4 linked regions of the Diceros bicornis minor genome follow. The protein of the gene in region 3 purifies or fractionates together with the protein of the main gene of each other region. This does not show direct contact. Links are inferred from orthologs where the notes say so. Each region holds a gene or a part of one and is shown on either strand. Other genes may lie near its edges. The genes, in order: NOC4L, GNL2, KRR1 and LARP7.

What was found.
Region 1: the proteins of KRR1 (region 3) and NOC4L purify together in Homo sapiens (co-immunoprecipitation; 3 studies listed by BioGRID and IntAct, with this or other methods). This does not show direct contact. The link is inferred for Diceros bicornis minor from reciprocal best matches to the Homo sapiens genes KRR1 and NOC4L.
Region 2: the proteins of KRR1 (region 3) and GNL2 purify together in Homo sapiens (affinity purification with mass spectrometry; 3 studies listed by BioGRID and IntAct, with this or other methods). This does not show direct contact. The link is inferred for Diceros bicornis minor from reciprocal best matches to the Homo sapiens genes KRR1 and GNL2.
Region 4: the proteins of KRR1 (region 3) and LARP7 purify together in Homo sapiens (affinity purification with mass spectrometry; 4 studies listed by BioGRID and IntAct, with this or other methods). This does not show direct contact. The link is inferred for Diceros bicornis minor from reciprocal best matches to the Homo sapiens genes KRR1 and LARP7.

Annotation. Positions count from the first base shown.
Region 1 is NC_080774.1:948,564-955,498, forward strand, and holds the start of NOC4L (nucleolar complex protein 4 homolog), read right to left. Parts: upstream 3,007-6,935; 5' UTR 2,979-3,006; coding exon 2,862-2,978; intron 2,564-2,861; coding exon 2,443-2,563; intron 1,920-2,442; coding exon 1,813-1,919; intron 1,487-1,812; coding exon 1,379-1,486; intron 1,117-1,378; coding exon 967-1,116; intron 882-966; coding exon 782-881; intron 669-781; coding exon 634-668; intron 155-633; coding exon 104-154; intron 28-103; coding exon 1-27. Other genes in the region: ATP-dependent RNA helicase DDX51, read left to right, coding at 3,099-3,602, 4,638-4,788, 5,095-5,240, 5,331-5,402, 5,498-5,604, 5,769-5,877, 5,962-6,107, 6,298-6,496 and 2 more.
Region 2 is NC_080752.1:51,627,561-51,635,363, forward strand, and holds the start of GNL2 (nucleolar GTP-binding protein 2), read right to left. Parts: upstream 3,001-7,803; 5' UTR 2,886-3,000; coding exon 2,822-2,885; intron 1,132-2,821; coding exon 1,047-1,131; intron 75-1,046; coding exon 1-74. UniProt on the Homo sapiens protein: GTPase that associates with pre-60S ribosomal subunits in the nucleolus and is required for their nuclear export and maturation.
Region 3 is NC_080764.1:43,844,310-43,851,450, reverse strand, and holds the start of KRR1 (KRR1 small subunit processome component homolog), read right to left. Parts: upstream 3,003-7,141; 5' UTR 2,770-3,002; coding exon 2,685-2,769; intron 1-2,684. UniProt on the Homo sapiens protein: Part of the small subunit (SSU) processome, first precursor of the small eukaryotic ribosomal subunit.
Region 4 is NC_080750.1:7,541,957-7,549,942, forward strand, and holds the start of LARP7 (la-related protein 7), read left to right. Parts: upstream 1-4,972; 5' UTR 4,973-5,367; coding exon 5,368-5,373; intron 5,374-7,986. Other genes in the region: protein ZGRF1, read right to left, coding at 363-383. UniProt on the Homo sapiens protein: RNA-binding protein that specifically binds distinct small nuclear RNA (snRNAs) and regulates their processing and function.

The sequences.
Region 1 (6,935 bases), on a different chromosome or scaffold from region 3:
CACCTTCTTGCAGAGGCTGAGGGGCAGCTGGGAGGGGCGGGGCGGGTCAGGTTGCAGCCGACACCCACCCCCACAACCACACGGGGCCCTGTCCCAGGCCTACCTCGTGTTTGAGGAAACCGAGCCACATCAGCTGGAAGGCTCTCCTGTGCTCCTGTGGGGAGGGGGATGGAGGCTGCACACGCTGCCCCAACCCCCACTCTAGCCACCACCCCGAGATGGGGAACACCACGTGTCCCCACCCCCCTGTTCCAGACACTGCCCCACCCCCCTCCTGCCATGTGTGGGTAGAAATAGCCGGAACCTGAGGCATCCCGGCCAGCTCCTCTGCATCTCTCGCAGCCACAGAAGAGTAGGCAGGCGCTGCATTCACAGCCACCTGGGCACTGACACTGAGCACCGACCCCTCCTGAGGGGTCCGGGCGGGCCACCTCTGACCTCTGGGAACAGGGTGCCTGCTGGCCTCCTCCTCCCCTTGGGGCCTCACGAGTGGCCCTGGTGGGTATCTAAACTGGGAAGAAAGCAGCTGCCCCACTCCTCGTGTCCCACACAGGCTGCCTACGTCCGGGGGGTTGATGGCACCCCAGAATCGGCCTGTTCCCAGGGAGGCCCCCGCCCTCCAGAGCATCTCACCTTCAGATGAACGACCTTCCACTTGTCCGACAGCTCTGCAAGGAAGGTGAGAGGTCATTTGACACACAGGACGGGAGCAGGGGCTCGTCAGGGTGCCAGTGTGTGAGGCTCAGGCGCCCCTGCTGGCCCACCTGCCCCAAGTGCTCACCCGTGTGCCCCACGTAGAAGTTGGAAATGTCACTCTCCTGGCGGGGCAGGCTCACGGCAGACAGCAGCGTGAAGGCATTGTTCCAGAAAACAAGGGGCACCTGCCGGAGGTGCGGTGTGAACACCTAGACGCCGCACACCCACCGTCCACTGCCCACACCCAGAGATGGGACCCAGCCAGCTCACCTCAGGGTGCCCAGTGGCGACCTGGGCCACGGTGTCTGAGGCCGCCTGCATCGTGTGGTAGCGGATGTCGTCGTGTTCCAGATACTCCTGGAACTGGGAGAGGAGCAGCGAGCGGTCCTCCTCGGGTGAAAGCAGGCCTTCCACCACCAACTGGGTGCAAGACCGGGAGGTGAGCCTCTCCCACCCCTCAGGATGGGGCAGCCCAGGGATGGGACTCACCGAGCAGAGTCCAGGCGGGCTGCCAGGGTCCCTGCTGAACCCCACAACCAGTGGACTGCCCCAGGAGACCCCTGAGGCGGTAGCCTCCCTGCCTCCCACAGGGGAGGAAGCACCACGTACAACAGCCACCTGTGCCAGAGACCCATTCCAGCTCTAGCAGCTAAGGCCTGTGGGGAGCCCAGCACCCCCTCACCTTGAAGAGCTGGCGGGGGAACAGATAGTTCCCTTCCCACTTGGGCTTCTCCAGGGGGTGTGCTCCTTCCAGCTGCACAAACTTCATGAGCGTTCCGAGAGCCAGCTCCTGGGAAGAGCGGGTGGTGAAGTGGCTGCGGTGACCCCAACCACACGTCATCTCCGCTGCAGAAAGCCCACAGAGCTGCCCCCGGCATTCAGGCCTAAATGCCCATGAGACGTCACCCCTGTAAGACTCAGGAAACACGACAACACCACCCACCAAAATCCTAATCAAGAAAAAGAAGAAAAAAGCTTCCCTGCCCAGACAGGTAAACGGGGGAAGACTCGTGCCTGCAGCCACAGCCCCCGGTTGCTGCCGTGTGCGGAGAGTCTGGGGGCTGGGGGTGCGGAGGACGCACAAGGACGGGCAAGGCCAGCGACCCCAAGACTCACCTTGACCTGAAAGGAAGGGTGGGCCAGGAGCTCCCCCAGGCGGTTGCAGCAGCTGTGGTAACGGTGCCTCATCCACACCTTGTACTTCCGCGTGGCCCCCTGAGACCCTGCAGGAGGGGCAGGGTGGTCAGCCCACAGGGATGCCCACACACACCAGGCTGGGCCCAGCCCCACCCTCCCGCTGTCCGCTCCTCTACCCAACCAGGGAAGTGAGTGCAGACAGACCACCGAGACCCATTCCCCCAACCAGGGAGAGCCACTCCTACAAGGGCCGGGTCCCCACCTCCTCATTTTACCCCAAGATCTGGACGCCCAAGAACCACAACATGTAGCCCCAACTTTACACAGGATCACAACTCATGTTAAACAGCATCAAATCCCACAAACGGCACAAAACACACACAAAGAATCACGCCTTGCTCAACCTTCTCTAAGCTTAGTTATAAAGTCACCAACCTTCACCACCCACCCACCCCCAGCAGAATCACCCGCTCCCACTTCCCGCGGGCTTGGGGTGTCCTCTCACCAACCTGGACGCTCTGTGATGATGGGGTTTGGGGGGCTCACCTCATGCTGGCAAGGTTCCCTCCAACCTCGTGACAGGAGGCCCAGGGCCCTCCGGACGCTCACCTGCCATGACCGTCTCCTCAGGGGGCAGCTGGCCCACAAACAGCTCTCCCCGCTCCAGCAAGGCCCCGAAGAGGCGGCTGCACGCGCGCACGGCTTCCTGGATCTCCTCCTGGTCCTCGGACTGCGGGGAGAGGCCGGTCGCAGGGTGCCCCGCCGGGAACCGTGGCCCCTGCCCCTGTCCCCGCCGGACTCCAGCCCCACCGCACCTCACCCGTGACCCTGGCGTGACCCCGACCCCGCCTCTGCCAACCCTCCCGCTGGACCCTCCAATCAGGGAGGCCTGCGAGACTGGGCAAGGCCCCAGGCAGAGTCCGAAGCCGCTCTGCGACTGTCTGCCCGCACCCGAGCCGGAGGGGGGCCCCGGTCTGGCCTCCGGCCCCGGGACCGCGGCCGCGACCCCGCCGCCCCCGCGGTCCCACCTGCAGCACGGCCAGGATGTCGAACACGGCGTTGGCCTCGCCGCGGCTCGCCAGCACCGCCTCCAGCAGGCGGCCCAGCGCCCGGCGCGCGCCCGCGGGGCCGGGGTCCCGCGCCATGCCGCCGCCCCACGCGGAAGACACGGGGCCGCCGCGCCGCCGCCCGGCGCGCCTCTGACGTCACCGCCCGGCGCCTCCGCGTCATCGCGCCGCGCGGGGCCGGGGCGGCGTGCGGCCGGCATGGCGCTCTTCCACGTCGCGCGGTACGCGGGCCCCGAGGCGGCCGGGGCGGAGGCCGGGGCGGACGGCCGGGCGCGCGCGCTGCTGGAGCGGCTGCAGTGCCGGGCCCGGGAGCGGCAGCGGCAGCAGGAGCCCGCGGAGGCCGCGCAGCCCGCGGGGGCGGCGGGGAAGCGGCGGCGGCGACCGCGCAGACCGCGGAGGCGCGAGGGCGGCGGGGCGCCGGGGAGCAAGCGGCGGAGAGCGGACGGCGCGGCCGCGAGCGCAGGTGGGCCCGGCGGGGCGGGCGCGGCGCGGCCCTGGAGCCGGGTCCGCGTGGGGCTGACGCGCCGCCCGCCCCGCTTCTGCCGCGCAGGGAGCGGCGAGGAGGCGCCGGGGGACAGCGGCGAGGGCGCCGAGGCCGCGGGGCCGCCGGAGGACCAGGACGGACGGCCCCCCGCGGAGGCCTCTGGGCCCCCGGCCCACGCCCTGCTGCTCGGGGGCTTCGAGAGGAGCAGGGCGCCCAAGGTGAGCGGCGCGGGGGCGGGAGGCTGCAGGGGCGCGGGCCGCTGTGGCTAATGCACGCCTGTGTGTGGGGTCGCTCGGAGGGTGGTGCCTGCGCCTGGCGGCCGTCAGTGTTCCTTGAGTAACTTCACAGGTTAACGCGCGGCACGTCGGCTGTTTATTCTGCCGTGTTTATTTTGATGGTTTGAATTCTGCACCAACTCAGTATGTTTAGTTTTAGTTGTAAAAGTATTATTTTTTTATTGTCTAAATCAACATTATCAAGTTGGTTTCTGTGCTGCTGTCAAAGAGGTCTTTGTAAACAGCTTTGGTCGTTTGGGGTACACCCTTGAACTTCTGCTGTGCTCTCACGAACCTAGGGAACAAAACAGAAGATTCCACTAGGTTGCTGGACTGGCCAGGTCTCTGTTTTAGTGAGGGAGGTTTTCAGTAAACAAGTCGGTGAACCAAGAGTTCTTGGAGGACGACGATTACCGTGAGGAAGAGAGGTTTGGCAGGGTGCGCAGGGGCACCGTCATATCAGGGCACGTGTGGAGGTCCACTTCGAATTGTGATCAGAAGACAGGAATCAGTCTGGTTAAGATGGGGGTGGGAGGTTTGTGCCACGCAGAGGGCAGGGTTGGGGCAAAGGCCCTCGGGCAACAATGAGCTTACTGTGTAAGAACAGAGGTATGTATAGCTAGGGGACGTCCAGTGATAGGAAAGGAGGTCAGGGGCAGGTGAGTGCCAGTTCACAGGGGGCCTTGCCTTGCGACTCAGAGGCTGGATGTTGTTGTGGGTGAGAGGGGACACCCCCAGGGAGCGTTTTCCGGAGACTGGCACCTTCTGGTGTCTCTTAATTACTGTAAAGTCTGCGTGGAAAGTGGGTAGTGAGGGATCAAGGAAGAGCTGGGAGACTAGTTAGATGGTTCGTTGGGGCCTCTTTCCTGCAGCCCCTCAGCCCTAGTGTCTTGAGTCCTTGGTTTCTGCAGCCTTGCTCCCCCAGCCAGGCAGGCTTAGCGAGTATTCACCTGGCCTCTTTCTCACCCTTTGTGATAGGTCCAGCCTTTCCTGCCAGCGTGGCTGGCTGAGCCAAGTTGTGTTGGAAAGAACGTCACCAAAGACCTGGTGCCTATCGAGGATATTCCTGAGGTCCACCCTGACCTGCAGAAGAAGTTGCGGGCACATGGCATCTCATCCTACTTTCCAGGTGCCCCAGCCCTGGGACAGGGGACTTCCTCATAGAGCATCGTCACTCAGAGTCACACAAGGCCATAGCTTAGCAGCTGCCAGGGCCAACAGCCCCTGCATGCCCCCACCATCAAGTGTGGTCTTGGTCTCGGCATCTTCGGCCACCGGAGCCTGACACTCCTTGAGGCTCTGATGCCGCCCTGGAGTGAGAGCAGCGCCGCCCAGAGATCACAGATGGGGGAAGGCTGCTTCTAGCCGTGAAACCTGTGTTTGTTCTGGGTGTCCCTGCACAAACACGACTTGCCTTTTGCTCTCCCTTGTCCAGTCCAGGCGGCAGTGATCCCTGCTCTCCTGGAGAGCGCGGCCAATGGGTTTCTGGTGGGCAGAGCTGGCTACCGACCCAGCGATCTTTGTGTTTCTGCCCCGACGGGCAGTGGGAAGACCCTGGCCTTCGTCATCCCCGTGGTGCAGGTGAGTGTAAGGACCCTCCCACCCTCCAAGTGGTCCTGACCAGCAGGGAGCTGGCCCTGCTGACGCAGCTGGCTATCTCTCCCTCTGCAGGCCCTGCTGCATCGAGCCGTGTGCCAGGTCCGAGCCCTGGTTGTGTTGCCCACCAAGGAGCTGGCCCAGCAGGTAGGTGGACCCCACACCTGGAAGTCAGACTCTGAGTCCCTGTCACTGTGGTGTGGGGCCTCAAGCCAGTGCAGTGACGGCTGCTCCTCCTCCAGGTCAGCAAGGTGTTCAACATCTACACAGATGCCACTTCTCTGCGGGTCGCCCTGGTCACCGGGCAGAAGTCACTAGCCAAGGAGCAGGAAAGCCTTGTCCAGAAGACGTAGGTCCTGCTGGGCCGTGGGCTTAGCTTGTGCAGCAGGAGCAGGCGGCAGCTGCATTGTAGCCACCTGGTCCCCGGGGGAGCAGAGCGCGCTGCCATCGCAGGTTCCCCACGCTGGGGGGCTCAGTGTGGGGGCCCCCGCTAGGCAGCTCTCTGCTCCACAGAGTGGACGGCTTCCGCTGCATGGCTGACATCGTGGTGGCCACCCCTGGCCGCTTGGTGGACCACATCGACCAGACCCCAGGATTCAGCCTCCAGCACCTCCGCTTCCTGGTAGGTTGCCAGCCCTGAGGGAGGCGCAGTCCTGAGCTGAGGCTGACCTCAGCCACCAGATCCCTGGCCTCCCGTCTCCCGCAGGTCATCGATGAAGCTGACAGGATGATAGACAGCATGCACCAGTCCTGGCTGCCACGGGTGGTGGCAGCAGCCTTCCCGAGCGAGGGCGCCAAGGACCCCTTTGCTCTGGTCCAGAGAAGGCAGCCCCAGACCGTGACTGCTGCCAGGTACCCGGCACCAAGCTTGCTCTGCCCTCAGGGCTCCCTTCCTTGGTCTCTCCAGTCTCTGAGACCCACTCCTCCTGGTCTGGTCTGGTCTGATCTGGGGCGCCCAGCCTTGAGGAAAACCCTCCCGGGACTTAGGTAGGGCAGGCTGGTCGGGCCTCAACTGCTCTCCCAGCACCCACTCCTCTTTCAGTACCTGCTGGCCCCAGATGCCGCTACAGAAGCTCCTTTTCTCGGCCACTCTGACCCAGAACCCAGAGAAGCTGCAGCGGCTCGGCCTCCACCAACCCCGGCTCTTCTCCACGGGGCTGGCACAGGGGGGTTCCAGAGATGCTGACACGGAGGTGGACGGGGACTCGGGTGGGAAGTATACCTTCCCTGCAGGGCTCACGGTAAGCGGGGCACACGGGTACAGGGAGGGGGCACGCCCCGGTGCTCAAGGGCCCGCCAACCCCGTGCCATCCCCACAGCACCACTACGTGCCCTGCAGCCTCCGCTCCAAGCCAATGGCCGTCCTGCACCTCCTCCTGGAGACGAGCTTCTCAAGAGTCCTCTGCTTCACCAACTCCCGAGAGAACTCCCACAGGTGAGGCCGGGCAGGCCGGGGCGGGGCAGGGGGCATTGAGGCAGAGGCAGTGGCGGTCCTGGCCCCGGCCCACTTGGCTCTGGCGTCTCCCCCCAGGCTCTTCCTGCTAGTCCAGGCTTTCGGTGGGGTGACCGTGGCTGAGTTCTCTTCCCGCTATGGGCCTGGCCAGAGGAAGACGATCTTGAAGCAGTTCGAGCAGGGGAAGATACAGCTGTGAGTCCTTGGAGAGTGGGCCTGGTCTCACT
Region 2 (7,803 bases), on a different chromosome or scaffold from region 3:
CCACTCTCGCCACTGTGCCAGAAGCCACTGTTGATTGATATTGCAGAGGCTTAATCACTTTACCACGACTGTTCCTAAATGGAGGAAATGACAGATTTTGGTTGACGACAGAAGAAAGGCAACAACAGCAAAGTCTGGTTTACAGAATACCCTTTCCATCAAAAGGATTTTTTTTTCCTTTTTTTGGTTTTAAAGGATCATGAAATACAGATTTCAGTAAACAAAAAGTACTTCTACATTTGAAACAGATTGCCCAAAAGCCATTTAACCTCTTGCAACAGAGCACGTAACGATTTCTGCTGGATGAATAACAAATAAAGCTGATGTTTAAAAATCTGTTTACTGTTTGTTAGCTTTAAAAAAAAATCACATACGTGAGTTTTTTGGGTAATTATTTGAAGGCTGGTTTAAATGAATTTTAAGTAGAGGGTGATTTGTGCTGGAACTCAAAATTCTGAAACAAACTGCAGAGCAGGTGACTAAGGCAGATTAAGTTCATTGACATTTGTGTTTTAGACACATCTTTTAGAACGGATGGAGAATCTAATTACCAAACAAATTAAGACCAGCTAGAAAAATGCCACACTCAGCAAGTCCCCGTGGTAGAGGCTGCCTCAGCAGAACGCAGATTGGTGGTGAGTTTCCAAGTGCCACAATGTTGTGATCTAAAGTCTGGCATTAAAAAACAAGTTCTCTCGCTGCTTTCATGACTACAGTCCTATATGCTTCACTAAAGAAAACCAGATTTCCATCTGACGGATACCTAACTTGAGATTTAATATGCCATTCGTGGAGGCTGAGGCTGTAAGGAACAAGACCTCTAATTGCTGTATTGTGACACAATCACAATTTCTCCACCCACTACTCATGTCTTTAACCAAGAATTCACAATTTATCATAATAACACCCATATAAAATGATACTTGAAAATACACTACTCGTATTTGGGGAAAGTGGGAGTGGGAATATCATAGGTTTAATAGGCCTCAGCTATTCAGTCAAGGGCTTGAAGCAGAGGGGGGAGGATGCCAGCACCCAGTACTCACCTGCGCTCCTTCTGCCTGTACATATTCAGGCGCCGGATGGTGGCCCGGTCCCTCATGTTTTGGCCTCCTGCTCCCTGTACTCGATCTAGGGAACCCAGAAGTAGATTGCACACCATTTGATAACCAACAAGTCTAAGTACGGTCGTTGCTTCAAACACACCAACTAGTTCACTCAAAGTAAGCAAGCCGCCACCTCACTGCAAAATCTCTACTTCCTCCATATGTTGCTCCAAAAAAATTATTACTGGAAGCTACATGGTATGACAAAGCTGATCTAACCTTTGATCCTCAATAAGACTGTGTTTGATAATGATAAGAGCTAATATTTTTGAGCACTAACTACAGCACTGTGCTATCCACATTATAGGTCTCATCCCATGTAATCCATACAATAATCCTATAAAGAGGGATACATTATCCCCATTCTGCAGGCTAAGAAACTGAGGCATAGTGGCCAGACATCTTGCCCAAAGTCACAAATGGCAAGCCAGAATGTGAACAACAGCATTTGATCACCACCTGTGCTCTGAACCACAAAGACATCCACCTCTGGATCTCACTTTAACAAATTTTGAGTGCCTGCTACATGCAAGGCACCCTGGAGACTACAATCTTGATACCTAAGTGTTTCTAATGTACTAGTTTCTTAATTTCCGAATGTTTGATTTTAGTTTAATCAACAGCAAAATAGGTAGTAATTCTTGTCTTACATCTCAGAGAGAAAGAGAAGGACAAGTGTCGTAAAACCAGCCTCATGTGGGGATCCCTTCAAACCACCTGTCTACTCTTACAGTGATGTCATAGAAAAGAGGCTGCGATCACCGGACTGATGGCTCTATTACTGACTAACCATGCCAACTGTGACAAGCCACTTCCCCTATTTTGGCTTAGTCTCTTCACCTTTGACATCAAGATCTCTAAGGACCTTTTCGGGTCTAACATTCTAAGATTCCAGTCTACACAAATTGAGTAATTTATCAGCAATCCAGGGAAAACACTCAACATGAATTAAAGCCATAAAAAATTGAAACCATATTTAAAAACAAAATTTTATTAACTAAACCCAAATGGAAGGGACTCCCCCAAAGGCCACCTTGTTCAACCTGTAGGTGGAACCTCAACAAAACTCATAAACATCTCCAAAAACATCTTCAGTGAAATGATCTTATTTATTTATCTGTAGGGTTTTCCACACACTTGACCCGATGGGATGACTCCAAGAGCCAAATTAACAATCCCTTTCTCACTTAAATTGTCAAAGCTAAGGTGGCAGCAAGTGTGGTCAAGTGTAAAAAGCCAGCTGCGTCGGCCTACACCACTTTTAATCCAACTTGATCTAATTCACTTCTAGCAAGCCTTGAGCTGGAGAGCTGGAATCATACGAGACTGACATATATTGGGGGAGGGGCTTCAACACGACCCACACAGGAACAAAAGAAGAGGTCAAGTTTAACTGCCCCTTCCAACTCAGAGCTTCCCAGTCTCTGCATCTCACAAGTGGAGACGCCCCAAGGCTGCCAGGCCTGAGCGTTCCCTCTCTCCGACTTCAGACTCGGTGCCTGGCACCCAGCCCTGACAGGCGTGCAAGATGTCGGCCCTCCTCAGTGCCTCCGAATGAAGAAACCATCTTCTCCCTTCCCATCCCCAACAGCCACTCTGCTTGAGGTCACTCCAAGCCATGCCACCCGGGTGTCCCTCCTCCCCCTCGGTCTCCTCGGAGCCCTCCCCGCAAGCTTCCTCCAAGCTCCACCCTCCGCGAGCCCCGCCGCCTGTACCGGGGTTTGTGCTGGCCTTCGACGGGTTGATGGTGCTCCGTCCTTTGTACTTGGGCTTCACCATCTTGCCGCCGCGACGGGGACCCGAGTGCTAGGTCCGACCTACGTACGGTAAAAAAGGTAAAAAAACCTCGTAACGCCCCAGGCCCAGCCACAGCGACCGGCGTGAAGCACGCTGGACCACGTGTGCAAGTGCTACGTCACTTCCGCTCGCGCCCCCTCCTGCCCCCGCGCGACTTCCTGCGAACGCGCGCCGCGCGCCGCCGCACTCCTGGCTCCGCCCCCGCCCCGGCCGCTTAGACGTCGCCCTGCGTCGAGCCCCCGCCCTCCTCTCTCCCTAGCAACCGCCACGCTGCCCCTCCATAGCAACCGCCTAGTCACCCTGGACGCTCGGCACAGAGCTCCTACTTCGGTCCGCCCCAAACACAGAAACCTCTTCCCAGGCCAATGGCACAAGCTTAAGTTTAATTATCTAATGAATTTATCCTCTAAGTCTTTCCAAAAGTGGCTGACCACACAGCAGCCAAATCAATCAGATCTTGGCACCCTTATTAAAACTCCAATAATTTATCATCACTCAGAGTAAAAGAGAGACAGAGACAGAGAGAAAGAAACTCAAACTCCTTGCCATCCCTACAGAATTCTGCATGATCTGGCCCGTGCTATTTATCTGACTTCATTTGTACCTCCCTCCCTCTGGTTATTCCGAGATTTACACTGGATGTTCCCTCTGCCTGAATCACTCTTTCCCTGATTCTTGGCATAGCTACTTCCTTCTGGTGGTTCAGTTCTCAGTTCAGATGTCACCTACTGGTAGGGTTGCAAGATTTAGCAAAAATACAGGACTCCCAGGTAAATTTGAATTTCAGATAAACAATGAAATTTTTTTGAGTATAAGTATGTCCCAAATGTTGCTTGGGACATAGTTATACTAAAAATTATTCATTGTTTATCTGAAATTGAAATTTAACTGGGCATCCTATATTTTATCTGGCAACTCTGCCTACTGGGAGAAGTCTTTCTTGTCTAATCTGTCTAAATCAGCCATCTCCCATCCTTCTGCAGTTATGCTGTTACATTATTCTGTTTTATTTACTTCATGGCATTTATCACTAGCTGAAATTTGTTATTTACGAGTTCATCAGCTGCTTCCCCAAAACTGGAATATAAGCTTTTTGAGAGCAGGGACCTTGTAAGTTTGTTCACTGCTGTATCTTCAAGACTTAGAACAGCACTTGACACATAGATAGTAAGGACTCAATAAATATTCATTGAATGAATGATGAATAGATGGTGTCTCAGCTCTGCCTGCTATAACAAAATACCGTAGACTGGGTGGCTTAAATAACAAAGATTTATTTCTCACAGTTCTGGAGGCTGGGAAGTCCGAGGTCAGGGTGCCCACACAGTTGGGTTCCTCGTGAGAACTCTCTTCTTGCCTTGCAGACAGCCGTCTTCTCACTGTGTCCTCATATGTCAGAGAGAGGAAGGAGGACTCTGGTCTCTTCCTCTTCTTATAAAGTCACTAATCCCATGCTGGGGGCCCCACCCTCATGACCTCATGTAAACCTCATTACCTCTCAAAGGCCCCATCTCCAAATATTATCACATTGGGAGTAAAGCTTCAACATATGAATTTTAGGGGAACACAAACATGTAATCAATAGCAGATGGGAATGCTTCTTGCCTTGAGGGGGAAACAAGGGTGTAAGACCCAGAAATTTCTGTTTCTGTTAGTCAAAATAAACTCTCTAGATGCCAGTGTTTCAACCAAGAAGCCCTCTCTGTTTTTTTGGCACCTCAAGTTGTCAGGAAATGCCCATCACTGTGCCTAAGTCCAGAGAAGAGGTGGTTAGGCAGGAAGAAGGTGGATTCCAGCCTGTGGTGTAGCCCATTCCGTAAAAACAAACAACTTAGTATAAAGTGAGGAACTCTAATTGTGGGGGGATGACTGAGTCTTTATTTTTCTGAGTCTGAAACAAACAAACCGAAAAACATTCTTTCTAGAGCAAAAGCAGGCCATGTCCTAGACAACAGGGGGAAATACCTTCTCTCCCTTGAGATTGACTTTTATTGCCCCAAGGGCAAGTATCGTGAAATTTAACACGATTTTGCTAGAAAGGCTCTGAACCTAACACGGTGTCTGAGGGAGTCTCTGAAAGCTGGTCAGAAACAACTTCATGCCCACTGAGGATCCAAAGATGCCCCCTTCTGCCTCACACTGTCCCTTTGGTCCCCCAAAGGAGGATGCAATGGCCCACTCCCGGAGAAAAAACTAAGATAATGTGTTTCTGATGCCTCAGTTTGGTTCAAACCAGAATAAACACGAATGGCAAAAATCAGCCCATGAGCTCATTCAGGCTTTGATCAGAGACATAATTTCATTATGAAATTTTGAATCAGGCTGTTGTGAAGTCTTGCCAAGGAGTTTCATTTTCCCAGATGATATGGTGCGTTGTTTCTCTCCTGTTCTCATACTCAGCTTGCGTTTATCATATGAACTTTCCGTCTATTTTTATAATCTGAGCCATCAATCCCATCAATCCTTTTACAACAGTATGGCTGATCCCGACAACCAACCTCAGTTCTACCAGCTGATAATAAGCCTGATCAAGGTAGGTCAAACTCAAGTTACTGATTTGGTTTGCTTGCCCTGCTGACCATAATTGTAATAGGTTTTTTTTAAAATTTTTTTTAAAATTTATCTATTTCCCCCAAAGCCCCAGTAGATAGTTGTGTGTCACAGCTGCACATCCTTCCAGTTGCTGCATGTGGGACGTGGCCTCAGCATGGCCGGAGAAGCGGTGCATGTGTGCGCGCCCGGGATCCAAACCCGGGCCACCAGCAGCGGAGCGCGCGCACTTAACCACTAAGCCACGGGGCCAGCCCTGTAATAGATTTTTCACTCTCCTTCCTGATGTGGTGACCAGAGGAAGCAAGACACACCTCCAGGCCTATGATTCCTCAGCTTTAGAAGAGATATATTAATTTAACTACGCTGAAAGATTGCAGCGTGATCATATGAATTATGCTGTAAGAAAGCATAGCAGAAATGGTACACCCCATGTAGATGGGATGCTTTCTGTTTTCCTCCAGACTTATGGTTAGCTCCTCATTCCCTGGAACCTTGCTCCTCGTAACCACAGGTTTGTGTGAATGGGAAGACCCCAACAGGAATTGGCTCGAAATGCCACGTTTCTTTCTTTCTTTTTTTTGAGGAAGATTGGCCCTACGCTAACATCTGTTGCCAATCTTTCTCTTTTTCTTTTTTCTGCCCAAAGCCCCAGTACATAGTTGTGTATCATAGTTGAAGAGTTGTAGCTCTTCTATGTGGGACGCCGCCTCAGCATGGCTTGAGGAGCGGTGAGTAGGTCTGCGCACAGGATCCGAACTGGCAAACCCCAGGCCGCCGAAGCAGAACGTGTGAACTTAACCGCTATGCCACCGGGTCGGCTTCAAAATGCCACCTTTCTGAAACAGCCTTGTGCCAAGTTCTAAAAGGAAAGAATGGACTGGTGTTTTCACAGGGAGAAGAGAATCTTGACTTCGCTTCATTCTGTAAAAACTTCTTCATTGGGATCTAATGGGCAAGTAGAAGCAGCTTCTAAAGTAGCAGTTTTCAAAGTGTGCTCTGAGGACCCCCAGCATCAGAATCAGTTGGGGGAATTGGTTAAAAATGCAGGCTCTTGGGCTTCACCCCAGAGTTACCTAAATCAGACCTTCCGGAGGTGGGGCCCAAAGAATATACATTCTAACCGGCTCCTCAAGTGATTCTTGTATACACAAAAGTTTGAGATCTTCTGAAAAGCAAAGTCTTTCCCAAAAGTCATCCTCAGGCTTTCTGACCAGCTGACCAGAAGGCAGCCCTAATAAGACCTAGCTCCTTCTCCACCTGTCTTAAATCCTCTCTTTTTTCTCAGCAGAGCCAGGGTGAGGAAGGCTGCAGCAGCGTCTTATGCACTCTGAAAATATATGTCTTGGCTCTACCCCAAATGCCTTGATATTTATGCTGCAGCCGGAGGGTCGTTATCCTTTGGCAACACTCCATTGTAAGGCCATTAGCTCTTAATTAGTGCCAGCTTGTTGATTTATCCTTCCCTGTTGAACTGAGAGAGCAGAGGCTTCTCTATTCAGTCTCCTGTGTCTATCCTCTGGCAAATTCACAATGCATTGACCCCTGCCTGCTGGGGCCAAGAGTTGGGCCCCTGGAGTGGCTGTTGCTCAATGTGAAACAGTTACTAGCCCCCAAGCAGAGGCTCTGGGATCCTAGGAGAACAGAGAAGTACTCAGAATATGTTTTCAGGGTTTTGTTTTTTAATTTTGTTTGTAGAAAACAAAAAGAGAGAGTCCTTGGTCATACAACCTCAAAAGTTTACAGGGGAATATAAGAAAATAAGATGTATTAAATTGGAGCTTCATTGGCCAAATTGCCCTCAGTCTAGTTTTCAGTCTAGGATGCCTGGGAATTTTTTGGACAAGGATATAGCAAGATAGTAGGCTGGGTAGCTATGAAAAGTGGCTAAGAGACTCACATCTGGGAACCCCAAGAAACTTCTTCATGGATAATGTATCTGGTCACCACTTCTAAGTGGGAAAAACATAGTCTGTATTGGTCTTGGCATTCATCTCATTGCTGGGTAAGGAGCTCTTCAAAAAGATCCCTAGATTAAGCTTTGGAAAAATAACTAGCAGCATTTTGCTCCTTCCTATTACTGAATCCCTGTGGTCCTCAGCAAATTCTGCTTAAGAAAATCTGAGAAGCAATTTTATGAGATGCTGTTAACGGCCTCTAATTTTCAGCCTGGTTTAGATAACTCAAGATTGCTGGCTGCATCCTGAGAAATGGATCCAGAACACACACCGATGTGGGAATTTGAAGTGTAACTCCAAATCGTAGATAATTGTTTAAGCTCCAAGAAGGCTGGAGGGCCCATATTAAGTCATCTCCCCAGGATCAGTGTGTTTCCTATTACACTTGATAT
Region 3 (7,141 bases):
TCAGTTGCATTTCTATATGCTAATAATGAACTAACAGAAAGAGAGCTCAAAAAGATAATACCATTTACAATTGCATCAAAAAGAATAAAATACCTAGGAATAAATCTTACCAAGGAGGTGAAGGACCTATACAATGAGAACTACAAGACATTATTGAGGGAAATCTACGATGACATAAAGAAATGGAAAGATATCCCATGCACGTGGATTGGAAGAATAAACATAGTTAAAATGTCTATATTACCTAAAGCAATCTACAGATTCAATGCAATCCCAATCAGAATCCCAATGACATTCTTCACAGAAATAGAAAAAAGAATACTAAAATTTATATGGGGCAACAAAAGACCCCGAATAGCTAAAGAAATCCTAAAGAAAAAGAACAAAGCAGGAGGCATCACAATTCCTGACTTCAAAACATACTACAAAGCAATAGTAATCAAAACAGCATGGTACTGGTACAAAAACAGACACACAGATCAATGGAACAGAATTGAAAGCCCAGAAATAAAACCGCACATATACGGACAGCTAATTTTCGACAAAGGTGCTAAGGACATGCAATGGAGAAAGGAAAGTCTCTTCAATAAATGGTGTTGGGAAAACTGGACAGCCACATGCAAAAGAATGAAAGTGGACCATGTGCTATTGCCATTCACAAAAATTAACTCAAAATGGATCAAAGACCTGAAGGTGAGACCTGAAACTATAAAACTCATAGAAGAAAATATAGGCAACACACTATTTGACATTGGGTTTAAAGGAATCTTTTCGGATGACATGCCTACCCAGACTAGGGAAACTAAAGAAAAAATAAACAAGTGGGACTTTATCAGACTAAAGAGCTTTTATAAGACAAATGAAACCAGAATCAAGATGAACAAACAACCAACCAGCTGGGAGAGAATATTTGCAAAACATACATCTGACAAGGGGTTGATCTCCATAATATATAAAGAACTCACACAATTGAACAACAAAAAAACAAACAACCCGATCAAAAAATGGGCAGAGGAAATGGACACTTCTCCAAGGAAGATATACAGATGGCCAATAGGCACATGAAAAGATGCTCAACATCACTAATCATCAGGGAAATGCAAATCAAAACAACACTAAGATACCACCTCACGCCCGTTAGAATGGCTATAATCACCAAGACAAAAAACAACAAATGTTGGAAAGGATGTGGAGAAACAGGAACCCTCATACACAGCTGGTGGGAATGCAAATTGGTGCAGCCTCTATGGAAAACGGTATGGAGATTCCTCAAAGAATTAAAAATAGAGATGCCCTATGATCCAGCCATCCCACTACTGGGAATCTATCCAACGCACCTGAAATCAACAATCCAAAGAGGCTTATGCACCCCTATGTTCATTGCAGCATTATTCACCATAGCCAAGAAGTAGAAGCAACCTAAGTGTCCCTCGACTGACGATTGGATTAAGAAAATGTGGTATATATATACAATGGAATACTACTCAGCCATAAAAAAAGATAAAATCGTCCCATTTGCAACAACATGGATGGGCCTGGAGCGTATTATGTTAAGTGAAATAAGCCAGAAAGAGAAAGACAAACACTGTATGATCTCACTCATATGTGGAATATAAACCAACACATGGACAGAGAAAACTGGACTGTGGTTACCCGGGAAGTGGGGGTGGGGGGTGGGCACAAGGGGTGAAGGGAGTCATATATGGGGTGATGGACAAACAAAAATGTACAACCCAAAATTTCACGTTAGAAACCATTAAAATATCAATAAAAAAAAAAAAAGCAAGAAACAGAAAAATGCCTACAGTCCTCGTTCATTTATATAAAATTCAAAAGCAGGCAAAATTAAAGCATCTTGCGCATAGGTAGTAAAGATGATGGAGAAGAGAGCGATCAAGACGATTCAGAGGGTGACTGACGTGCCGGAGGGGGAGAACCCCACGGAGAGGCTGCGGGGCTCGCGGGCGCAGGGACGCTCTCTTCCGCTGGACGGCGCGGGCCCTGCTCACGTGCGGGTTGACGCCTGCGCGGTGCGTATACTGCGCTGCCGTGAACGCTCCACCACGAACGACGCCGCCCCGTCAGCACCTCCCTAACGCCTGCAGAGAGCGAGGTCAGGCTTTTAACCCTTCAGTAGGACTGGCTGCTCAGGCCCGGGGCCCTGTCTCCAGCCTCTTCCTGTCATTCACTCGGAAGAAAACAGACAAAACCAGACGCCACAGCGACACGTCAACTTAAAAGTGGGGCAGCCTCAGGAGCAGGAGCCGTGTCGTCTGACGGACAGGAATAACGGAAACGCTTCCACACCTCCACTAACCGACACGCCGGGTCAGGCCACGCGGCCGTGTCCGCCCCGCATCCCCGCGCCTGTCCCACGCCCTCGGGGCCGGCGCTCCCGGACACACCGAGCTCCTCCCGCGTCCCTCAGCTCGGCCACGCCAGCCGCCGCCCCCGCGCGCGGTCCCCGTCCTCACCGGTTCACAGAACACCCGAGGACAAGCAATTAGTCAGGAACACGTGGCCGGACCACACCGGCCAGACCCGGCCGCCACCCCCAACCGTCAGCAACTGTGGCCCTCCACTTCCCAGAGCGGACTCAGGCGGCGTACGCGTCCCCGGCCAGCCAAAGACACAATCGCGCCTCCACACCCAAACCCCAGGCTTCGCTTCCCACACACCCCCACCTCGGTTCTCCGGCTTCGGCTTCTGGGTTCGAGACTCACTTTTCCCAGCCGCCGTGGCTGGGCCGTTCAGTGAGGAGGACGCCATCTTCAAATTGCTTCCGGTGTTACCGGAAGTGACACGGTTCTTAAATCCTACCGGACTTAAAAATCCCTCTACTCAAAATGAGTTCCGCAGAACTCAGACGAGGAGATGTGCGCAGTCTCCGTTCGTGCGTACGCCTGAGCCCGCGGAGTTGCTCAGTGCAGCGCTTCTCGTGCGTGGCCCGTGGAGAGCCGGAGAGTTCGTTTCCGGGGTTCTTTTCCGCGCTGCAACTGCGGAGTTTGACTGCATGCTGGGAATTGTAGTTCCGCACTGTGGGAACATTGAGGGCTGTCGGATTTGTAGTTTTCTCGTGGCCCCAGTGTCTAACCCGGGACGTCGGACTTCAGGGTTAGGGCACCTAATGCTATCGTCATTAATGTCACTTATTCGTTCATTCGATATAATGTCACTTATTCGTTCATTCGATAAATATCTTATATAATCATCAGGTAAGTCTTAGGAGTTGGGAAGAGGTACAAGTATGAGAATATATGGTTCTCGACAGCAAGAAGTGACGGTAATAACTACCATTTGTTTGTGCCTGGCACTTTATTTGCATTTCTAATCCTTAGAACAAAATAAAGTTAAAACAAATCTCTCCAAAATTGATAATTTTTTGGAGGGTAAGTTTTCAAATCCTTGTTTCTGATGGTAGTTTTCTTGGGTCTTGATATTTAGCTGTCTCCGCCGGAGAGGTAGTAATTAAGCGACACTCCTGAAGTGTTTCACCTAGCCTAAGATTTTCCGAAATGACAAACTCCTGTCTACCCCAGCACTGCATATGGCTGACTTCAAGGTGTGAAATTCATCACTGCTACAAGTGTTTACACTTCTAGGAATCTAAAAGTTCTTACACATGGTAAAGATAGGACTTCTTTTGATGATTGGTCTTATTGCTTGACTTTTCTAAAATTTCCTGCAGCACAACTAGGGAAAGTCTTTGATAGGTTGAATTCCTTGTGTTAGTGAAAGGAGGAACGTTTATCTGAAATCCACCCTATGTATCTTCTATAAAAATTTAGATTTCCGTATATGAGGTACATGTATAAAACAGACTGTTACTTGGGAACAGAAGATCCCAAGACACATGATTATGTTAAGATCTTTGCTTTTATCCTGTGTCTTAAAAACGACAGTCAGTGATTCCATTCCTATAGTCTTACAGTTTGCTCAAAAAGCAATGACAGATCCGTATAGTGAACAAATAACAACAGGTGAAAGTTAAAAAGTGAGAAGCAATTCCTTTAATGTTCCCAGAAACTCTATGAAGCAGGGTTGTATTATCCTTATTTTAAGGAACTCAGTCGCTTATAAGTGGTGAGCTAGACTTCGAGTCCAGGCAGTCTGACCATTAGCACCTCCAGAAAGGCTACTATACTAAAGGATTAATTGTTGCAAATGTGTCAGAAGGAAGGCTGGGTTTTCAGCCTCACAGCTTTTGGACTTGAATTACAGCATCAGCTCTCCCCTGGGTCTCCAGCCTGTTGGGCCACCCTGTAGATTTTGGACTTGCCAGGAATCTATAATTACTAATCTATAAGTTTGTGGAGAATCTTGACTAATACAGCAATTTGTAAGAGTAAATCCAAATGGTTGATGAACATATGCTGCTCAACCTTACTATGGTCAAAAAAGCATATAGACGTAACAAGGAAATATCACTTCTCACCCACCAGATTGGCAAAAAAGAAATAATAAAAAAATTTTTTTAAATGATAATCTACTGGAGGAAAGGGCACTGTCATACACTGCTGGTGGAAATGTAAACTGTTACTGCCTCTTTGCAAACAATCTATCAATATAAAATATACACATATTCTTCCACAGTAATTCCACTCCTGGGAAACTGTCAACTAGAAATAAAGCATCATTCCATTAGAATGTGTGTACAACTGTGTTGATTACTGCCTTGTATAGAAGTGATTCAGTGAAAGGTGCTTTGGAGCCACACTGACTGGTTTGCCACTTAGTGGCTATATAGCCTTGGGCAAATTTCTTACCACCCCTGTTCAATTTCCTACGATGGGGAGATAAACTTTACCTCAGTGACTTTATACATGGAAAATGCTAAAAAAAAAAATACTTTGCAGGTTGTACTGATACCAGCTCAACACAAGATCCACATAAGGGAAGCCATATTGTAGAAAAGAAACAATATTGTAACTTTGAATGACCTCTGACTAACTCTGCGGATTTTATGGCCCCTCCCAGCTGCTACAAGTTGATAACTTTGTTCTCTTGAGTTCCTTAGGAATGTGATGACCCCTGGGCAGAGAGTCTATGCTGATAGCCATCATCAAGGACAACTGAAAGATCAGGGTAGAGGGCTTTGCTCTGGTCTCTGATGCATATCCAGTAAAACAAAGACTGCCAGGAACTAAAACCAGATGGTTGCCCCCACCCGGAGACCAGATGGGTGTCCCTACCCAGAGACCAGATGCCTCCACCTGGAGATCAGATGCCTCCCCCACCCGGAGACCAGCCCTCTATATAACTGGCCTGTAGTCTTTGTTCTGGGAGATGGTTCTTTCAGACATTAGTCGGCCATGTTCCCCCTTGCTAGCAAGCTGTAATAAACTGCCCTTTCTCTGCCACCATCTTGCCTCGTGATGATTGGCTTTTGTCTTGCGGCGAGCAGATCGTGCCCTTTGTGTGGTAACAGTACTCACTCAGTGAGTGTTAGCTGTTATTTATTTATGGTGGCAAAAATGTAAAAGCATCTTGACTATCAATTTGGGATATAGTTAAATAAATTGATGTTACCTTCATAACTGTGAGCTATTACATAGCCATTCATAAGAATTAATTAAATCTATATGGAAGAGATGAACTAGAAGCATTGAGTGATAAAAGCCAGATACAGAAAGATGGGATAATAATTCTATACATTTTTATATATAATTATATATATATCTCATTTTTATATTTTTATATAATAATTATATATTAATTATCTCATTTTTATAAAGCAAACCATTCATTCATGCAATAAATAGTTATTGAGCATCTGTAATGTTTCAGGCACTGTTCTAAATACTTGGTTCTTTTTTATGTGCTGGACATAATAATAATTATATGTGTGTGTATATGTGTGCCTATATATGTATATGAATATATTTGTTTACATGTGACTGTACAATGGGAAAGATTTGGAAGGATACATATCAAGCTTATAAGGCTGGCTACCTTAGGGATGAAGGCAATTAGAAAAGAAAAATGAAGTAGGCAAAAAGAGTTAAAAAAATAGGTATCCATGATAAAAACAAGCGTGCACATGACCCTGTTTATATCACACTGTCTGTTTGAGTGTGCACAGGGAAGTCTATGAAATGATGGTCACCAAAATGTTGACCATGTTACTTCTCAGTATAGAGACGTTACAAAGGATGGCAATTTAAATAACAATACAATTGTAAATCAATCACAATTTACATCATTTTATTTTAACATCCTTGGAAATCTGAATATAAATATGTACTCAGATCTGCAAGGTTATTTTCAGAAATTGTACAAGTAACACTAAAAAGGGAAAGAAAAAACTAAGGAGTTTCTTGTCACAAACCTGGGCTGGGAAAGTCCTCTCTGTGTCACAGCAACAGCAGGCAGACCCATTTTGCTTGTGACTTCTCCCTTCCTTGGCCTCATAAACAATCTAGACCCACATGCAGCCATCCTCCTACAGATGACGAGTTCCACCAGCTCTTACCCTGCTTATTCATTTTCCCGTGAAAAGCAAGTTGGCCTCACAACTCTCCTTTGGAATTAGAGACCTTAATTCCCACAAAATTAACCCAGAGGGTAGTGGGCAGAGAAGTCAGAATGTGGCTTAACAATGTTGGGGGATGAAGAGTGCATTTATCTCTTATTAAAAAGAGTAGGAAAACTGGGCAAATAAGTGTGATTTATTTTCCGTTTAACATTTCTGCACTCATTTAACAGGGATAAAAATGATTTTTGCACAGTAATCTATGTGGGTTTTCTTCTGCTAATTTTTTTTTAAATAAGCAATCAAGACAAGTTTTCTCAAATACATAGGATTGACACGTTTTTATTTTCTAACATACATAAGCTACTTTCTATTCCAATTGACCTCACAGCAAGGTGTGAAATCTTCAATCAACATATCTCTATCAACATCAGTAACGCTAATAACAACTATGGCTGTAAAATAAGGCCTGTTCTAACTCCATAAGATTACATATTAAAAAGGATCTAGGGGTAACAGTTGAGAAGGGAAAAGCACAGTAAAGCAGCCTAGCTGTAAACTAATCATGTTATTAACCTATCTTTAGAAAAATAATGTCAATAAAAATGAAGTGTTCTGCATGAAAGTCTAGGAAATCTGGGAATCTAGGAAGAGACTGTAGGGGAGAAG
Region 4 (7,986 bases), on a different chromosome or scaffold from region 3:
AGAGAAGAGGCATGCCAGTTTTTCAAGAGAAAGAAATTATTTCCTGATCCCAAGCTTCCAAAGAATTTGTGCCAAAAGACTTTGTATAACAAAAGCAAATAGTAGGCAAGAGATACGGTTGCCAGATAAAATACAGGGCAATATTTGAGACAGATATACTTAAACTAAAAATTATTCACTGTTTATCTGAAACTCAAATTTAACTGAGTGTCCTACTTTTAGGTTTCAGGTGTTTTTTTTATTTTGTTTTGTTCTGTTTTGTTTTTGGCTAAATCTGGCAACCCTAGCAAGACATTTATGAAATGCGGAAAGAAGGAAGGAAGGAAGAAAAGAGGAAATAAGCAAAAACTGGAAAGACTTACAATAAATTCTCGGCTCTCCATTGTTTCTTCTGAACTTATAAACCAGTCAGGTCCAGAAAATAATCAGTAGTTATTCAACTATTTATGCTACCTAAAATGAAAAATGACAAGGACTATTCAACCCCTACGAAAAGAATAAATATCAAATACAATTTTTCCCCACAAACTTTTTTTTTTCCGTAAGGAAGAGTCGCCCTAAGCTAACATCTATTGCCAATCTTCCTCTTTTCACGTGAGGAAGATGCACCCTGAACTAACATCTATGCCAGTCCTCCTCTATTTTGTATGTGGGTAGCTGCCACAGAATGGCCGCTGACAAGCGGTATAGGTCCGCACCCAGGAACCAAACCCGGACCACTGAAGAGAGTGGCACTGAACTTAACCACTAGGACACGGGGCCAGCCCCCCCCAACAAACTCTTGACCAGAGAGAGGAATCTAAGAGTTCCAAGTTCCATGTAACCAAGGGAAACAGAGGTATAATGAAATTATCTGCCCCCGAGGACATATGAAAAGAGTGACACCACACTGTGGAAAAAGAATTTGCTAGGTAGAGAAAACCAAGTAAAATATACAAAATAATTAGCACTCGCAAGCATTTTTCCAAGTGCCATAATATATATCAGAAAATATGATTCCCCCTCCCCTCCATGTTTGGTTCCTTATAGAAAGAGCTTCAATTTTTAAAGTTTTTTGAATTGCTATGGCCACCACAAGATGGCCCCCTTGCGTTTTAAATTTTTCCTTTTACATCTTAGAGTCAATATACCACAGTATCTAGGACCAAATATACATTATAATACTTCCGCAAGGAAAAATCTCTTCAACATCGTTGCCATGAGTACTGTAGTTATCCTATGCCATTGGATAAAATTGTTATTGTGGGGGCCGCCACCGTGGCTTAGCGGTTAAGAGTGTGCTCTGCTACTGGCGGCCCAGGTTCGGATCCCCGGCGGGCACCAACGCACTGCTTCTCCGGCCATGCTGAGGCCGCATCCCACATACAGCAACTAGAAGGATGTGCAACTATGACATACAACTACCTACTGGGGCTTTGGGGAATAAAAAAAAAGGAGGAGGATTGGCAATAGATGTTAACTCAGAGCCGGTCTTCCTCAGCAAAAAGAGGAGGATTAGCATGGATGTTAGCTCAGGGCTGATCTTCCTCACACACACAAAAAAAATTGTTATTGTGGGCAATTTTGGAAATCTAAAATCACTGATGGTGACTTGAAGAAGTAAACAGAAATACCAAAGGAAATTATTACTTTATCCCTAAAGAAGTGGTTCCAAAGGTATGATCCCTGCACCAACAGCATCAGCATCACCTGGGAACTAGTTAGAAATTCAAATTCTTGGGTCCCACCCCTGACCTATTAAATCAGGGCTAGTAGTCTGTTTTAACAAGCCTTGTAGGTGACAGGGATACACGCTCGAGTTTGAGAAGATGGCCCTAAAAGACCTGGGGGATTCAATAAAGCTATAATTTGCAGTTCTGGATTCAATTTCTCCTTGATACATATAAAATATATAAAATAGGCTACCTACATATTATATATAAATTACAAATATTTATTTAGTACTTACTATGTGCCAGACATTGTGCTAGGCTGAAATACTAAAATGAACGAAATATTATCCCTAATCTCAAGGAATTTTCAGTATAGCAGGGTGATAAACAGTAATTACAATAAAATATGACAGGAATAAGCACAGGAGGGGCACCCAACTCGGTCTAGGGCATTCCTGAAGGATGTAATGTTTGAGCTGGACACTGAAATAACCATTAACCAAGGGAAGATGCCAGGGAATTATTTCCAAATATGAGTCAATATGTACAAAGGCCTGTGGAAGACAGAGCAAGGCGTGATCAAGAAACTCTCAGTAGTACGGCTAAGAGGTTGAGTGTAACGTAGTGAGACAGGAGACTGAAAAAGTGAGCAATAACAGGATTCAGAGGGCCTTCTATGTTAGGCTGAGTTGTCTGGACTTTCTACAAAGACAGTAGGAAGCCACGGCAAGATGTTAAGAATGAGATTACATTATCTGACTTGGGGTTTTACAAAGATTGCTCCAGCTGCTGTGTGGAGAAAGGATGGGGTAAGAAGTAGGCAAATGAGATATGAATTAATGCCCCACAACATAGTTCACAGGACAGGACCCAGACCTACAGAGGCACTGCCTTTCAGAAATATAACTCCCATATCCTATATCCCTCCCCTCCAGCCCACAGAAATTGTCAGACGCCTAATGAATGCCAAGAAGATAACAGAGAGGTCCAGAGAAACACACCATTCACTGCTGCTTTTAAAGCAACTTGCTCCCAGCCACTGAACGGGTTGGACATCCTATGTATGTAGATGAGACTACATGGTGTAGACACAGTGCTGGGCATGTGGCAGTTATTAATCTTAGATCCCTTTAACAATAGCTATCATTTATTCTGTGCAATTATATGCTAGACAGTGTTAAAATGCTGCAAACGCTCACAACCTTATGGTATAGATACTATTTTTCATATTCATTTTACAAAGAAGAAAACTAAGGCACGTAATAGGTAAGTAAGTTGCCCAAGATCATAAAGTAAACAAATGGAAGATTCAGAATTCAAAACTAAGCAGCCTAAACTCTGATGCTCATACTCACAAATAGTACATTATACGACAATTTATTGAGTACCTACTATGTCAGGCAGGAATTGGGACTAGATACTTCACATATAATATTCATCAGTCTCATAATCCTGAAGAGTAGATATTATCACCACAATTTACAGATTAGGAATCCAGTATTTATTAGTTTAGAATTACTTATATGCTACTTAGGAATTGCAAAATAAATTCCCCATTGTTTTCCTAAATTAGAGATATTACTTGTGGGATTTACTTAAAAGGAACTGAGAAGGTCCAAACTCTCATAAATGGTAAATTAGATTATAGGATTAAACCTCAAAAAAAAAAAAAAAGGTTAGCTGGATTTAGAAGAGCCCTAATTTCCACTTTCAAAGGAAAGTCAACACTCCTTTCTTACAACTAAACAGGAAAAATGGTTTTAGCCAACAGCATCATATATTTAAGTGAGGTGCAAGGATAAAACATTTTCTGAAAGTCTTCATCTGTCCACATCTGTCAAACAATTCAAGTACTGACCCATCTCTGCAGGGTGAGTTTAGTGCCCAAAGAAGTTTTTAAAGTGGTGTGGAGATGCTCTGTGGCAATGATATAAGTACAGACATACATAAATGCCTACACACACATATATACACATACATTATTATGCTGCTTTATACATTTATATATAAAATTCGGTGCTTTCACTAAACTAGGAGCCATTCTTCCTGTTACGTATGACGAGATGTTTTTGGTCCTTTTGTTTTGGAACAAGCAGGATCTCTCGAATCCCAAAATGGTTCACAGATTTAAAAGCTGCAGAGGCACGGACCCAACACCGTGTTAGAAAACCATTCAGTCCAAATAACCAAAGAAGAAGCCCACACTTCATCTGCCAAGATTCTAACTACCAGGATCCTGTGTAACCAAATGACAGTGAAGACTTGACCCTTTGTCAGTCCTGAAAACAAGGAGCAAAACCCTCTCTGGTCCTCACCCGTACGCGGGAACGGCAGAGCAGGGGCTGGGAAGAGCCGTGAGGACGCGGAACCAGCTATGACAGGGAGTCCGACCAAGCCGTGACTGTCACCACCCAATCCTGGCTCCACACAGCACCCTCCGGTCCGCTTCCGGCCGAGCAGATTCTCTGGTCCCCTCGCCCCAAATCAGCTTCGCCGCCTGTCGCTCAAATCCCGGCGCCTACCCACCCTCACGCCCCGGAAACCCCGGGAATCAGTTCACTTCACCGTCCATTGCACGAAATCCACTTTCGAATTTTTCCCGCGAAAGGCTGTGACGTCATTAGCCCGGGACCGCACCAGACCAGGACCCCATACTTAGCCCGCCCACCAGAGCCCTCGTCAGAACCGCCGTTCTCAAACCGCCAATCAAATTCTTCCCTAGCTGCGAGCCTCCTTGGGCGGGCGCGTTCTGCGATGCCCCGCCCCCCGAGGCAGCCCACGCCTGTGACGTAAGAGACGGCGCGCCGCCCCTGGGCCCGTCTTCTGCGACGGGAAGCGGAGAACGGTGTCGCTCCTCTTATGACGCAGAGACGACCAGGACCGTAAGGATCGGGAGACGGAAAGAGCTCAAGGACGCAGTCTCTGGCCCTGTATTTTGGGGGCTGAACGGAGTAAGTTCAAGTGGGCCATAGGGTTGCCCAGGTCGGGTGAGGTCTAAATTCCCCTCAGTCCTTTTTCATGCAGTCCATTCTATCCTCTGTAGGCCCTCTCACCCCGCCCCCTCCAACTCACCCGTCAGTTGGCGTGCCCTGGTTCTCTGTGCGCACGCGCAGAAGGCCTCTGGCAGCCCTTGTAGTTCCAGTTGTCAGCGATTGGGGGCGCGCGTTGTCCGGCGCTGGAAGTTTGGGGTCCGCCCCGCCCTGGCGGCGTCCGTGCGGAGGGACGGGTGCTGAGAGGGGCAGAAGTCAAAATGGAAGTAGCCTTGCTTCGCAGCTTTGCCGCTTGGTGGCCAAAGAATAGCGAATGTGAGGACTTGTGTTTTAAAATGAAATCATTTCCTTCTTCAGGACTCTAGTGTTTGTCAGCAAAGAGTTGAAAGTCCAGTTGTGGAAGGGAGCTAACAAATAAGTGCTAAATACGGTGTACGGAGTGCGTCAATAGCCGTGCTTCAGGGAAGCGGATGAGGAGGCGGTTAATCGGGGGAGATGCGGTGGAAGGCTCCGGAGAGGAAGAGGCCGTGAGCCGGGGCCTTGAGATTGAGTGGGGTTTATAAGGCAAGGCAGACAGGAGTCGTTCAGAGCAAACGCACAGAGGGGCGAAAGCGTTCGGGTACCTTTGCATAGGTGGCTGTGACTGGAGCAGTGGTTCTTAACCTTCTTGGCACACCATTTCTTTTAAAAACGTGATAAAAGCTGTGGCTGAGCCTCCCCGGAAAATGCTGGTACATGTCAAAACATTTTGCATATAATTTTGTTAGGAAAAATTGTGAAAGACTTTGAAATGGCCAAGAAAAAAAACTACTGGGTGTCTTGGGTAGCTCCCTCTTCCAGGTTATCTCTGCCTGTCGTTGTCATTGAGTTATTTCACAATTGTGTCAGTTGTAGCCAACGATAATAATGGAAATTAGTCTTGCAGTTATTTTTGCCATTGTTGCCCTGACCGGTTGTGCGTTTATTAACAAATTCATTTCGCCGTTCCTGATAGCTTATATTTGTGTGTCTGGTTTTTTAATTCTCCTGTGAACTGATTTTTAACACTTAGCTAGTTCCCTAATGAATTACTTAAATAAGATTTTTGACATGTATTCATTTTATATTTATACAATAGTCGTGATTTTACTTTTCCTTTAAAATTTATCTTTTAACAATTTCATGGGATTCACAAGAATTCTTGAAACCCACCCAAAATTCCATGGACTTCAGGTTAAGAATTCCTGAGTCAGAACATAGAATGCGTGGTGACAGTTTGCAAGAGGTTCTACCGAAAGGTAGGCAACGTGGGAGTCACACATACCTGAGCTTCCTTACCCAGCCAGCTTTGCTCAAGTCACTTAACCTTTGACCCTCTATAAAAAGAAGTTGGAAGAAACAACCTAGTGGGCTTGTGAGGATTTCAAGCAAGGTATATAAAGTGACTGACATTGTTACACAGTAACTTGTTTTCTGTGTTTAAAAGCTCTGTTTAGAAGCTAGTTAGACTTCACTGGTTCATTTAACAGTTTTTTAAAAATACATATTATGTTACAAGAAGGGGCTGGGAATGTTTAGTGTTGAAAGTTTTGACATCACAGTCGCAAAATTAAATCTGTCTTGTAGACAAGTTGCACAGCTTTTGTGAAGGATGGAGGACTTCTAGAATAGTTTATAAACTGTTCTAAACTGACTGGTAAATGATAAAATGATAATAATGGTTACATAAATATTTTTTAAGATTGCAAATTGCTGATATGTGTTATGCACACTAGGTAAGAGTTTCTGAAGTTACTTCCCCAAGCCACAAAAATAATCCCTAGGAGAAGGAATGAAGGAGAATCTCTGGACTGAGATATGAGAATCCTGGGAGTAGTCTGGTTTCTAGGAGAACTGTGCTGTTCTGTGCTTATGCAGGTCTGTCCGCTACTTCTTTAGGTGGTATTTTCTGACAAGGAAAAGAATTGGAGAGCTGGTAGTCTGCCGTTTATAATCTGGTGTTTTCAGAAGGGAAAGTTAGCAGTGGACCCTGCTGTAGTGATAATCGTAGGCCACATTTGTATTTTGTTTATAATTCTACCCTCTTACAAAAGAACTTGAAATGCTTAACACTTTATAGTTTATAAGATCCTTTTAAATACATTATTTATTTAATTCACCAAATGCCTGGGTCGTGACAAGCTAAAGTTCCTGTCCTCATAGTGTTTACTTTCTAGTGAAGTAGACAGACAGTAAAACTGTAATTCTGGGTAATGATGAGAGAATACAAGGATAGAAAGTGGTGACTGGAGGAGTGGGTAGGGGTAAGGTTGGCAGGGAGGAAATATTTTAGGTTGGGTAGAAAAGAAAGGCTCGTAGAGAAAATGACATTTTCAAAGACCTGAATGAACAAGAACATAATCCCTATAGATGCTGCAGGAAAGGTAAAGACAGTGGCGAGAGCAAAGGCCTGGAGATGGGAAGGCCTTAGCGTGTTTTAAGGAACAGAAAGATGGGGCGTTGTAGTTGGAGTGCTCGTGCCGGAAAGAATTTTAAGAGATGAAGTTAGGGAGATATCCCGAGGCCAGATTGAATAGGGCCTAGTAGCCCACAGTAAGAATTTTATTCTGAGGGTGCTAAGAAACCTTTGAAGGATTTTGTGCAAGAGATTGCCATGTTCTGATTTACATATTTAAATTATTATTCTGGCTGCTATCTGGAGAAATGATAATGGAACAAGAGTATAAACTAGTATACATGAGGATGCTCTTGCAGTAGTTCGGGCAAGACACAGAGCTCGGACCAGGTGGTTGTGATGGAAGAAATGAGAAGTATTCCTATTCAAGATATGTTGTATAAAGTCAGAGCTCATAGAAATGCTAATGAATTGGCTGTAGGGTGTGAGGAAAAGAAGAATTAAGGAGGATTTCAAGGTTTTTGCCCTCTCGGCAATTTTTTAATTGGTATTTTCGCAGATCAGGAAAACTAGGCAAAAAAAGGTCTGTTAAAATTTGAGAGTTTAATGTTTGCCATTTTAAACTTGAGATTTACTTTAGGTGAACAAATGGAGCTGTCAAATGGACAGTCGAATATTGGAATGGGGAGCTACTGAGAGAAGTCGGGGCTGGAGAACGTAGATGGGTGACACATCAGCGTGGAGCCGAGGAGCTGAAAGCCAGGGACCCTCAGCAAGGATGGGTGTGTCGATAAGAAGGGCGCCCAGGGCTGAATGCAATCCTAGGCAGCATGTGAAGGTAGAGCAGAGTAGGAGGGTCCCGAAAAAGAAATTGAGAAGGAGGAAAACTCTCCTGGAAGCCAGGTGAAGAAAAATGTTTTCCAGGAAGGAGTTATCAACTGCAGATGCTGCTGAGAGGTCAAGCAGCTGG